3 linked regions of the Lytechinus pictus genome follow. The protein of the gene in region 1 purifies or fractionates together with the protein of each later gene. This does not show direct contact. Links are inferred from orthologs where the notes say so. Each region holds a gene or a part of one and is shown in the gene's direction. Other genes may lie near its edges. The genes, in order: SAGA-associated factor 29-like, WD repeat-containing protein 37-like and TAF6-like RNA polymerase II p300/CBP-associated factor-associated factor 65 kDa subunit 6L.

Region 1 (3,759 bases):
TCTAGACCCACAGTCTTATATATCAAGGGTCTTTTCCAGGACACACCCTAAAACCCAACAATTTTTACTATTCATTCAACACCTGGCTTGGTGCAGGCATACAATACAGGCTTACATGTACCTGTATTGTACATAACTTTCTTTTATTCAGGCTCTATGCCAAGAGTTATGCTTGCACCTGTATTGTACATAACTTTCTTTTATTCAGGCTCTATGCCAAGAGTTATGCTTGCACCTGTATTGTACATAACTTTCTTTTATTCAGGCTCTATGCCAAGAGTTATGCTTGCACCTGTATTGTACCTACATGTAACTTACTTTCATTCAGGCTCTATGCCCAAGAGTTACTATGCTTGCACCTGTATTTCATATCACTACAGTATGTTAAGCTACCTTATCTTGTTTTTTAAAATGAAGCCAAGAACTTCATTCTTTATAAAGAACTTTAAGGAATTTCCTCAAAAAATCAATAATGAAAATCAGATGTTAGTGGCTGATCTAGAAATTAATGTGAATGATTTTTTTTGCTGCATCCTCATATTCAATGAAAGCTGGATCTGCCCGTGGGTATTATAAAAGAAAATGTGACTGGGGAGAATGAGGAATACTATCATACCTCTTGGTCGCATGTCAAAAAGTGGTCCTATTGACCGAACAGAATAAAAATGGTCAAAAAATTATTCTTTTATGTGTTACAGGTATTACCATTCTGTAAAAAAAAAAAAGTTTTTAGTCCCAAAATACCTTTCTTTTCCTTCACATGACTAAATGCTACCTGTTACACAGACATCAATGTAAATATGAATTTTCAAATGCGTTTTTCTCCAGTTAGACCTGCTGCACATAAAATGGTGTTATAAGTTAATGCTACATCGGATCAGACTTTTGCAGTTTTAATCTTGTAACATGGTAGAAAAACAAATGATTTTCTGTTGTTGTATGCATATCAATTACACTAATTAACAGTTCACAATTAAGTTAAGTAAATAAGCCAAACACATGCATGGACATTTGAAATTAAGGGAGAGAAATGATTTTGCATAATATATTTTATTTAATGAAATTTATGCGACAAACTGATATAACCAAGCTGATAATAATGGGTTTAAATGAAACTGCACGAAAAGACAATCATAATGTATTTCCTTCCAAGCTAATGTAAATAAATAAATGATAAATTTAATTGGAAAATGATCATCACAATTGCTATTTTCTAACTTGGCCAGACTTTAAAACACAAGACATTTTTATCCATATGAGGAGTAGATATACATTGTGTCTTGTTTATTTAGGATACTCTCTTTTTTTGTAAATTGATATTCAGAGACTAGTTAACTCTTAACATGCCATACACACTACTAACCCAACGCCACAGTGCTAATCCAATGCTAATCCCCTGTGCCAGCCACAAAACCCCCCTGTGCCACATTGATTTTGGGATCGCGAGTCGTATTCACTCCTTTCAATAGTCATGATTACAATTGCTTGTAACTCTCTAACGATTAGTTTATCCACAAAATATTGTGTAAAGTTGTAGGAAATTTCATACCCCTTATAATGGTGTCCTCATTATATGGATTGGTTATTATCTTTACCGTTAAAATATGAGTTGTATCAAGTAGTTCCATTTTGTGGAGTGTTTTGTATGGATAAAAAAACCTAGGTCTCTTCCCTTTTGGAGGCGGAGCCATATCTTGTAAAAAATGTAGTAATACTCGAAAAAGTCTAATGTAAACCGCGTGAGTAAGTTGATCTGTCAGAAAGCAGAGTTCGCACTGCACACAATAGTGCTAATTACGGCGTGCATGCGATGCGCAATACAATGCAAAACGGCGTAACAATGATTGTAATTCCGAATGTGCGCAGTCATGCACGAAGCAGGCGAGGGTAGGAAACAATGCAAGCACAAAGCAATCAATAGTAGGCGTGCGAGCACGAGTGTGGCATGTTATAGTTGGATACGTAGCGTGCACGAAGCACTCAATGAGTTAAGGGATACTACATTTATTAAAAAACTACTATTTCATTTTGTACTCCGGCTAACTTTTTATTTACTATCACAGAAATTACTACTTATTATTTTCATGAGCTTGTGCTGTTTAAGAGTAGATTGGAAATAAAAATCAATAACAACAGTTATTTCCTTCTCTCTTTTAGGGGTGTAGTCTATCAAGTTGAAAAATATTATTTTATAAAAGTATTTGAAAATGTCTGATAAATCTTAACTATATTTCAGCATAGTCATGTTATGATTACAGAATTTTGATTGATTTAAGATCCATAAGAAAAGAAGTTACTCCAAGAACTGCTCCCCGCAATAAATTTCTCTTTCTTTTTTGCTTGTTCTTCCTCAGCATATCACAGATTACAAATTAATACCTAGAGTACGCTTGGGTAGCTGGCAATTTTTTCATTATACGCTGGTAATTGTCTTTAACAAATCTCCACTCATGAAGATGAGAAGAGGGAAATCGTCCGGGGGCACACCCTTGGCCTCTAGCAAGGATGAAAAGGTGATGGCTCCCAGCTCCATATCCCCAGAACCAAACATGGATTCTCCAGGCAAGACTCCTCAGTCTGAGGGTGCAGGAGGGAGTGGGACAGAGACAGAGCCCAAACCAGAGGAAGAGAAGACGGGAGAAAGCAGTAAAACCAATGTACTACATGTAGGGACAGGTTCAGCATCCATACAGGAGATGCTAGCTGAGCTATATCGTCTTGTCAAAGACACACATAAGGTGAGTTCAATATCAACACAAACATCTCAGATGCTTTCACTGCTCTGCCAACCACTGTAATACACATTTTGCAAGTCCTATAATTGTATAAATTTAAAAGATTTGAGGAGTTTGGGGGATTGTATAAAAGTTTTTCTGATATTTGTCACCAGATCCCATATTCTGTAATTTGTCTGAATACAAATATTATTATATTCAGAGTTGAATTAATCCATTTTCTCAAAATTCTAATATCTTTCCTTGTATCTTTTACTGAGCAAGCACGATATCAAAGCTATATATAAATCTGAATAGGGCACACAATTACGTTATCTTTGTTAAGTTAACTGCCTTGTAAATAAAACTGACAGTTAGGGGATATTGTATTTCAATGTTGAATGTGTGTTTTCTCTTGATAACAAGAATTATTTCTTGCTGGTTCTTGCAAGAACATCTTGTTTTACAAGAGGACACCTTTCAATGATAGATTTGCAGACTTTTGGTAATTTTTAGATCGAATTAAAAATGATGGTTTCCTTTTCACAATTGCCATGCCAGGGAGAATCATAAGCAATGCTTATGCTTGCATGCTATTGTGTGCCATAAGCATCATGGGCTCAAGGGAAATTACACCTCATGACAACAATGTGCCTAATATTTTTACAGAAGAGACCCTTCTTTTGGTTGATTTACTCGTACTAAACTCTTGATTAGTTGACAAAAGAAATGGGTATGTCAGAGATGAGGTATGGTATCTCACTGTGATAACATAAAAGATGTAAGAAAAGACAAGACAATCAGAGATGTTGTTTATGTCATGAGCAAAATAAACCTGAACAGATGAGCATTTACTTATAAACTTCAATTTATTAATTTAAAGTGAAGTCAGTGAGTGAAAAACGGTAATTGGTAGAGATAACTATTTACAGGACATTGTCTTTAGGGAGCCTTGCTCAAAGTAATTTTTTTATGGAAATATATGTATGGTACTTTATGTTAACTGAAAATACACTGTACCTAAGATAATATGTAAATATACTAA
Region 2 (3,759 bases), on another chromosome or scaffold:
TGATTTGATTAAAAATAGCGGCCATGCATGTTTATAAGGTTTTAGAATGCACTGCAAAAACTCCGGTGTGATTTAATTAACACCAGCCCGGAATAGTATATGTCCACATGCACCAGAGAAGTGTTAAACAACACCAGTTTCGTTTTGGTCTAACACCAGAAAGATACGTGTTTATACAACACCAATTAGTATTAAAACAGCATCAGTTTGATTCTAAACCGTTGTTTCAATACTTCACTGGTGTGGACATATCCCGGGACATATATAGATTCCGGGCTGGTGTTAAATCAACACCGGAGTTTTTGCAGTGTGGGTTCCGGGGGCCCGTCGGGGGCCCGTGATCCGCATAATAGCACTACCAGATTCAGGGTTTGGGCCACTGACGGTCACCAATATAGTTAGGCCTATATAACTAAGAACAACAACAACAACAAAAAAGGATCAAAGAAAGATAAGCAAGTAACTTAAATGGAAGACTAGGCCTATTTTCTGAATAAGGTGTAAAAATCTATCTCAACCTTAGATTCCGTCATGAAAAAGTGATTTGTTTATTCGCTCGCTCGATCGGGACTTAAGCAGCTTTTTTTTTTGCCACACGCCGTATCGCCGGGGCATGTGCCCCCCCCCCCCCTCTCTCTCTTTTTACTCATCACGTTACCGTACTGCGGCATAGAAATTGCCCTAAATATGGCCCAAATCAGGCTCCGCACAATACAAAAAAATCCTGTTGAAAGTGGCGAACAGGTGGAGATAAGATATATTTTCTGATTATGTCAAAATCTATTGATGTTGGTAATAAAATTGTCGAAATGTTTGCTTGCTTCGCTTTATCGTAACTTAAAGCTGTGATTTTTTTGTCTTCTATGCCAATTTTGCAGTATATAATATACGCCACTGTCTGTTCATACAATTCGGATACAATTACAACCGAGAAATGTTTGACGACCCTTTTTACGCCCCTGAGGCTAGCAGTACCTCCAGTTACTCTATAAAATGGTGCCAAACGATCACAAAAAACCTATCTCAGGCTCAGCCCCTTTTCATTCTGGATGGTATAGTATTATAATGTAGACTGTCAGGATAGCGCTAGAGCGCGAGCGAAAATTGTACGGCTGAGTTTTTCGAGGACGAAGCGGAACTACAACAGACGTAGGCCTACGTATGTACGTCGTGGTGGTGGGAATCCGGCAGCAAGCGGTACCGAGATCGCCGGGCTGGCCAGGGGGACGGGGGCGCGCCGCGCCCGTACGCTACGGTCAAAGTGTATCTTTGCTACGGTACGCTGGCGCGGCGATCCTGGGGGCGCAGACGCGACCTCAGATGCATCAGAGCTGGCGCTGTACTGTGATACCGTATATGTGTACAGCTAGCTAGCTGTGTAGAATACTGAAGTGAAGAGAGTTGTTTGTTATCCCATTACCGTTGCGTTGTGATCGCTTGCCGATATAACTTGACCAGTTTTGCATAAATTTAGACGACTGGAGTGAGGTGACCTTGGATGTGACGCACACAAGTTTTGCCATCCAGCTCGGGATCATTCAACCTCAAGAATTAGGTATAGATTGATAGGCCTAGGCCTAAATCTATATTTTCTCCACTCTGAATTATTATTATTATTAACACTAACACTTACTTACTAATAATAGTATACCCAGTTGTTGTGTGTCCGGACGATCAATTTTAGAAAGTCATTTGGAAAAAATTACAAGGGAAGTTTTATCAATTGTTAGTACAAAATGTCAGGAAATATTATAGAGAACAAAATAGAAGATGATTACAACTACCTATTGAATTTGTATTTTTAGTGTAATCCAAAGACAAAAAAGAAGGCTTCAAAAATATAAAGTGTCCGGACACCCGACCCCCCCCCCATCCTATAATAACTAACACTCAGTAAGGTGAGACTACCAAATATCGACCACCTCTTTTGAAACCGACCACCTTGCGCGTGTTAAAATTATTGCGTATTACAAACGATACGCGCGGGAGAGAAGGCGCAGTGTCCATAGAAACGGTAAGAATCGATTTTACGAGAAAAAAAGAAGCAACAAAAAGTAAAAATTCAGTAGAATTAATCAAAATTGTATTGACCAGACCCAAACCCCGCTGAAAAACCAAGAAATCCGATAGGAAACGGCTTTAGAACAAATATCCGTCATCAATCGTCGAATCATGTGCCGGAGCTCGCAGTGGAAGTAGCGAGACGATCATTTAGCATGTTGACAATGACATCATAAAACTGATTTGGAAGAATAAAAATATTTCGCCACCGCGACAAGAATCGGCCGTAAACTTAGTGTATCGCGGGTGGTCGGTTTCAAAAGACGGGTGCAAATGAGCAAATGTGAAATCGTCGTATTCGTTGTTCGTCGATATATACGCGGATTGAATCGGAGTCGCTGAGCGAAACATGGGAATCTGATCTGCTCAATTTTCTGCACAAATGAGACGAAAACTGGGTAAAATTGATGAATATTTTCGCAGATACGATGCTTAGAAGATTAGGTGGTCGATAAGGGGTAGTTCCAACCATACTAACAGACTTAGAGTCTAGACTAAGTTACAGACTTTTTATACAGTGACAGTGTATTAAAACTCTTCGTAAACAAGCTCAACATCAATGGCAATGCACACAGGTCACAGCCAGCCAGGCACAGCCACAGGGTTCACAGTCAGTACCGGTAATAATTATACTTATAGAGAGTTTCCAATGGTTTTAGCAAGTTAGGAATAGGAGCAGTGAACGAGAATGGCGTAGCAATCGTCCGATCGTTCGAGTCCACGTGGTTGTCTGCCCTTGTTCACTACAGTTTCAGATGCGAATCCTTTACTTTAGATTTCACTTGACTTGTACGTCCACGTGAAACAGCGCGATAACCAGCGGCAGCGGGTCATGACCAGATGACACGCTGCCCGACCCGGAAGATCTGGCGTACCATCGCCTGGCGACCCGGTGCAACTTGTGCACGCTTGCCCTTTCACTTGCTTTGCCTTTGATTCCTTTTTACTCAAGTTTTATTATTGTTTGAGCCCAAATGATTTTTAGATCATGATGAAGCTGAGAGCCTGAGACTGAGTGAATATCTAGATCTAACTAGGCCTAAGCCTATGCTTTAGTTTAAAATGGTATAGGTTTCAAAACAAGAACTGGTTTTATCGGGTCAAGATCACACTTTTCATTGGCCAAGTATGGTAGTGGATCATATTACTGAACACTTTTCATGGATTTGATCATATCAGATACATTATTTTCATAAAATTCACAAAACTTTAACCATAAATAGATCTACACAAATACCTACAGAATATAACAATTTTGTTGAAATTGTTTTTTTTAATTACTAATACTATATCCGCTTTTAATCGGACCCCTCTTCTCGTGAAATATTTTGGTCACTTGAAAATGGTACTGTATTACTGAACATATGTTTTCTATGGGAAAAGTTGAGAAAACAAAATCACTGATAAGCTATTTTGACCGTATTTTATTATTTGAGAATATAAAGACTTTGTAAATGTGTTTTTGACCATTTTTCATCATTTTCTATTCAAGTTCCCTTCGGAAGGATGTTGTAAAATTTTGAGCGTTTGAAATTATTTTCTGACACATATGATGAATACAAGGCCAGTCGGTAATACAATCACTCACTATACATTAAGCAGCTTGAATTCATAAAGGTGGTTTTGAAAACCCACGGTTGAGTCCATGGTTTATGCAGATTTCCTGTATAAATTACGCTTATTTTTCACAGTGCGCCA
Region 3 (3,759 bases), on another chromosome or scaffold:
GCTAGACGTAAAAAAGTACATGGTGAACAGGGCCGTGGAATGGAGGTCACTGAATCCTTTTGTAGCACTGCCATAATCCTTGTCATTGCTGTTGACTGTCTGTCCTGCAGGGGAAGTGAAAAATAGCAGTCCTCATAAGCAAGGACAATCCCATTGTCATCACCAGCCCACCTAATGAATGTCCTTGACAACAGCATACACCTGTTCACAAAATATTGCTAAATGTTATAATTCAGTAACTTTGTTATTTCGTTGTCAGATTTTAAGGAAATTTTCAGCGTTTTGCTTGGTGAATTTTAGTCTGTTTTAGGTATAATTATTTTCAGCCCAAAGCACCTCTTTGAGAATGAGGCAAACTTCTCATATAGAAACGTGAGTAGATCGTAGCCATTCAACCTGGTGGTGGGGTAATCTGCACTGAACGACTAGCCCAAATTATCATGAACAAAAGTTTATAGTGATTCTTCAGTCAATTTAGATAACCCCATCCTGAAAAAAAATGGCATTGAGAGAAATATTTTCTGTTCATAATATATGAACGTGCATGAAAATGCTTGGATTCTGCCCCCTCAACCCTAAGCATATTCATATATTGCCAATGAAAAGCATTTTATGTATGTCTATGCGTGCCTCTCTCGACAACAATCGGGCAATATTCAATCTAAGTACATTATATTGCTTTTTGTGATGGACATACTGAACACACTTAGTTTCTTTTACTCGTAATCATATTCACGATTGGATGGATAGCCGTGGAAACATTTTGTTTGCTTTTATTTTTGAACAATTTTGCTACTTTTTACCCTCACAATTCTTGACCCTGATCAGGCGTCTGAGCTCTGCTGCATTTTTCTAGGGTGGGGCGGGGGGGGGGGGGATAACACATACTTGTTCCATGATTGGAGATTTTATTTAACTTTCTAAGTCAGATCAATATTATAATTATAATGTTAGCACTTTTTAGCAAGGGATACATATGGAAATCTTCTCTTAACCTCTCAAGTGGTGTATATTTCCATCTGCTTAGGAAACCTCTTTATCCTCACTCCTCTCTTACTCTTTCTTTATTTCCCTTTATTCTTTCTTTATCTATCTCCCCTATCTTTTGTTTATTATTATCAGCCTGGAATGTTTAATCTTTCCTCTTCTTTTTCCTGGATAGGCGAGTTCTCAATTTATGAAGCATAGCAAACGGAAGCGGATGACGTCTGATGATTTCAACAAAGCTCTAAGATGGAGTGACGTAGAGGTAAATAGATACCCCATCTGCCCAGCTGTCACCGAGCATGCCTACGGCACTTATCCAGTCTTTGATTGGTCCATTGAAGATTATACAAATAATGAATGTTTATAAGTGCAATGTACAAATACTTCATGAGAATTGAGATGAAAGATGAAATGATCCATTCAACAAGGCTACACCTTGTTGAATGGATCATTCATTTCATCTTTCACCAAATGAAGTATTCTGTCCATTGCACGAATGAAAAACATTATTTTGTTTATATGACACCTAAAAATCGATGCTTGTTATTTGAAATTCATGAATTTTGATGCAAAATATGCTCATACTGTGCACAGTGAGAGCTTGGTCTGTTGATTGTCACGTACATGCGCTGCAAACACAAGTGTTTTACTTGTGGTGCATGGGGCTGGCCTGGGGTCTCGGTACGTGCGTACAATGGACAAAATTGTATGGATCCATAATTGCACGGATGATGATGTCATGAAAAATGGGCTGAATCAAACAACCAATCAAATGGCAGGGATCAAGGTGTCATATAATGAATCTTAATGCATACATTTCCATTGCCAAGAAATGATTTCTCATGTGCCAAATTAGCAATTCACCTGTATAGTTTAGAGCATTGCTGCCATATAAATAAAAATACTTTGCATTAATAATTATTTAAAAAAGTATAAAGTCAAAGGATACAGCATTAAAGATGTAACAAATTCAAAGAATTATGTGAAAGGTGTAGTACTAATACACCATGTCAATGAATTACAAAGTGGTTGGATTATTAACAAGTAACTACTGGAATCATAAACTTGTAGGCTGTTTATCATAAAATTTAGTACATAGGCCTACTAATGAATTGGGCCTAAACAATTATGATAATTTGCTGTTTTGTTTTTCCAATCCAGCCCATTCATGGTTATGGGTCTAATGAACCTGCTGTGTTTAGACAGATTAAGGATACTAATCTTTATTTTGTGGAAGACCGAGATCTGAGTTTACCTGAGATCGCCATGGATACCAAGATACCCAACAGTGCAGGAAACACCTCTCTAAAAGGTTTGGTATTACATGTACATGTATTATTTTGTTTTGTCATAAACATGCTTTCTATTGATTTTATCATACCAAAGTTTTCTGAATGGATGGGTTTTGAAACAAAATATGAAAACAATCTTATTATACGGTATGAGATGTACACAGAAGCATACAATTAGCAATTGCATTGACTAAGACAATGTTTCATAAAGCTGTTTGGAATTTATGCCTGACTGATGAATTTTTCTTGTTCTGTAATAATATAGTTTCATTTCTTATGATCATTTTTAACAGTTGAATAATATTGAATTTTTCCATTGATGATTGTTAGAAAATGATGATTTTAATCTACAAAGATTGGATTTTATGATTACCAAATGTGAATCGAATTCAGCATTCACTAAATGGTCACCAGTTGATTTTCAAGTCATGCATAACTTTTAACAGCTTAGCACCATCCCATTCTGTTTCATGAAGTTGTGTAAACAATTTTTTATTAAATCTATTACTTTATGATGACGTGCCTCCCTTTCAGTTAACAAATTCATGAAATATTATTTTTATAATCCCTCTTATGTTTTTGCTGATTTCTGCAGCTAATTGGCTAGCTTTAGAAGGTGTTCACAAGACTGTTGTTCAATCAAGTGATCCAGGTATGTTGTTTTGAAAAATTAACACCATGCACATTATCCAGACAATCATTTTCTACTCTCCAGTCTCTCCTTCTGAGTTTTGAAATATCAATCTGAGTTTAAAACCACATGTCTATCTTGATATTTTGAAATCCATGAATATCGAATATAAAATGTATTTAGTGTTCTTTGACTCGATTTCTTGGTCACAAAGTTCATGTCCTGGGGCATTCCATGTTTCAAGTAAACTCAAGTATTGATAATTAATTGACATACAAAAAAATCTTATCAAAATTTAAAAAGTTTATATTGCACTGTGCTGAAAGTTAATGTAACATTCAATATCATAAATCATACTAGATTATCAGGTCTCAAAGTAAAGAATTAAATTAAAGCAATTTTTTTAAATGTAGATAGGGTTTCAAAGGGCTGGAAATTTTGGAAAATTTCCATGGAAAGTTTCGGGAATTTTCGGGAATTTTTAATTTTTCACAAAAAGTGATAAATTGTGATTTTAAATACAAAATTATAAATTGATATCCTCAAATATTATATTTTCACTTGTATTTAAACTATTCTTCATTCTTTAAATTGCCCAGAGTATAAAATATTCATCAAACTGTACATAAATACATTATAGTACATGTATCCAGTAACATGATGGAGCATAATGTACAAAATGATTTTTTTTTCAATTCAACAATGAAAAAAATAAAACTTTGCATTACACTATTTTTCATTTTTCTTTAAATGTCAAGGGTTTTTTTATGTACATATAAGAACCTGCCTTCCATGTGAATAGAACAGTGCCCCCTACATGTCTGCACGCACAGACCCTTATTCAAACTT

Evidence for each region.
Region 2: the proteins of SAGA-associated factor 29-like (region 1) and WD repeat-containing protein 37-like purify together in Homo sapiens (affinity purification with mass spectrometry; 3 studies listed by BioGRID and IntAct, counting the BioPlex papers as one, with this or other methods). This does not show direct contact. The link is inferred for Lytechinus pictus from reciprocal best matches to the Homo sapiens genes SGF29 and WDR37.
Region 3: the proteins of SAGA-associated factor 29-like (region 1) and TAF6-like RNA polymerase II p300/CBP-associated factor-associated factor 65 kDa subunit 6L purify together in Homo sapiens (affinity purification with mass spectrometry; 4 studies listed by BioGRID and IntAct, counting the BioPlex papers as one, with this or other methods). This does not show direct contact. The link is inferred for Lytechinus pictus from reciprocal best matches to the Homo sapiens genes SGF29 and TAF6L.

What each region holds. Positions count from the first base shown.
Region 1 is NC_087246.1:3,895,197-3,898,955, forward strand, and holds the start of SAGA-associated factor 29-like, read left to right. Parts: upstream 1-1,545; 5' UTR 1,546-2,450; coding exon 2,451-2,738; intron 2,739-3,759. UniProt on the Homo sapiens protein: Chromatin reader component of some histone acetyltransferase (HAT) SAGA-type complexes like the TFTC-HAT, ATAC or STAGA complexes.
Region 2 is NC_087247.1:25,765,396-25,769,154, forward strand, and holds the start of WD repeat-containing protein 37-like, read left to right. Parts: upstream 1-1,147; 5' UTR 1,148-1,555; intron 1,556-3,759. UniProt on the Homo sapiens protein: Required for normal ER Ca2+ handling in lymphocytes. Together with PACS1, it plays an essential role in stabilizing peripheral lymphocyte populations.
Region 3 is NC_087251.1:8,182,422-8,186,180, reverse strand, and holds the start of TAF6-like RNA polymerase II p300/CBP-associated factor-associated factor 65 kDa subunit 6L, read left to right. Parts: upstream 1-1,165; 5' UTR 1,166-1,177; coding exon 1,178-1,249; intron 1,250-2,148; coding exon 2,149-2,299; intron 2,300-2,874; coding exon 2,875-2,931; intron 2,932-3,759. UniProt on the Homo sapiens protein: Functions as a component of the PCAF complex. The PCAF complex is capable of efficiently acetylating histones in a nucleosomal context. The PCAF complex could be considered as the human version of the yeast SAGA complex.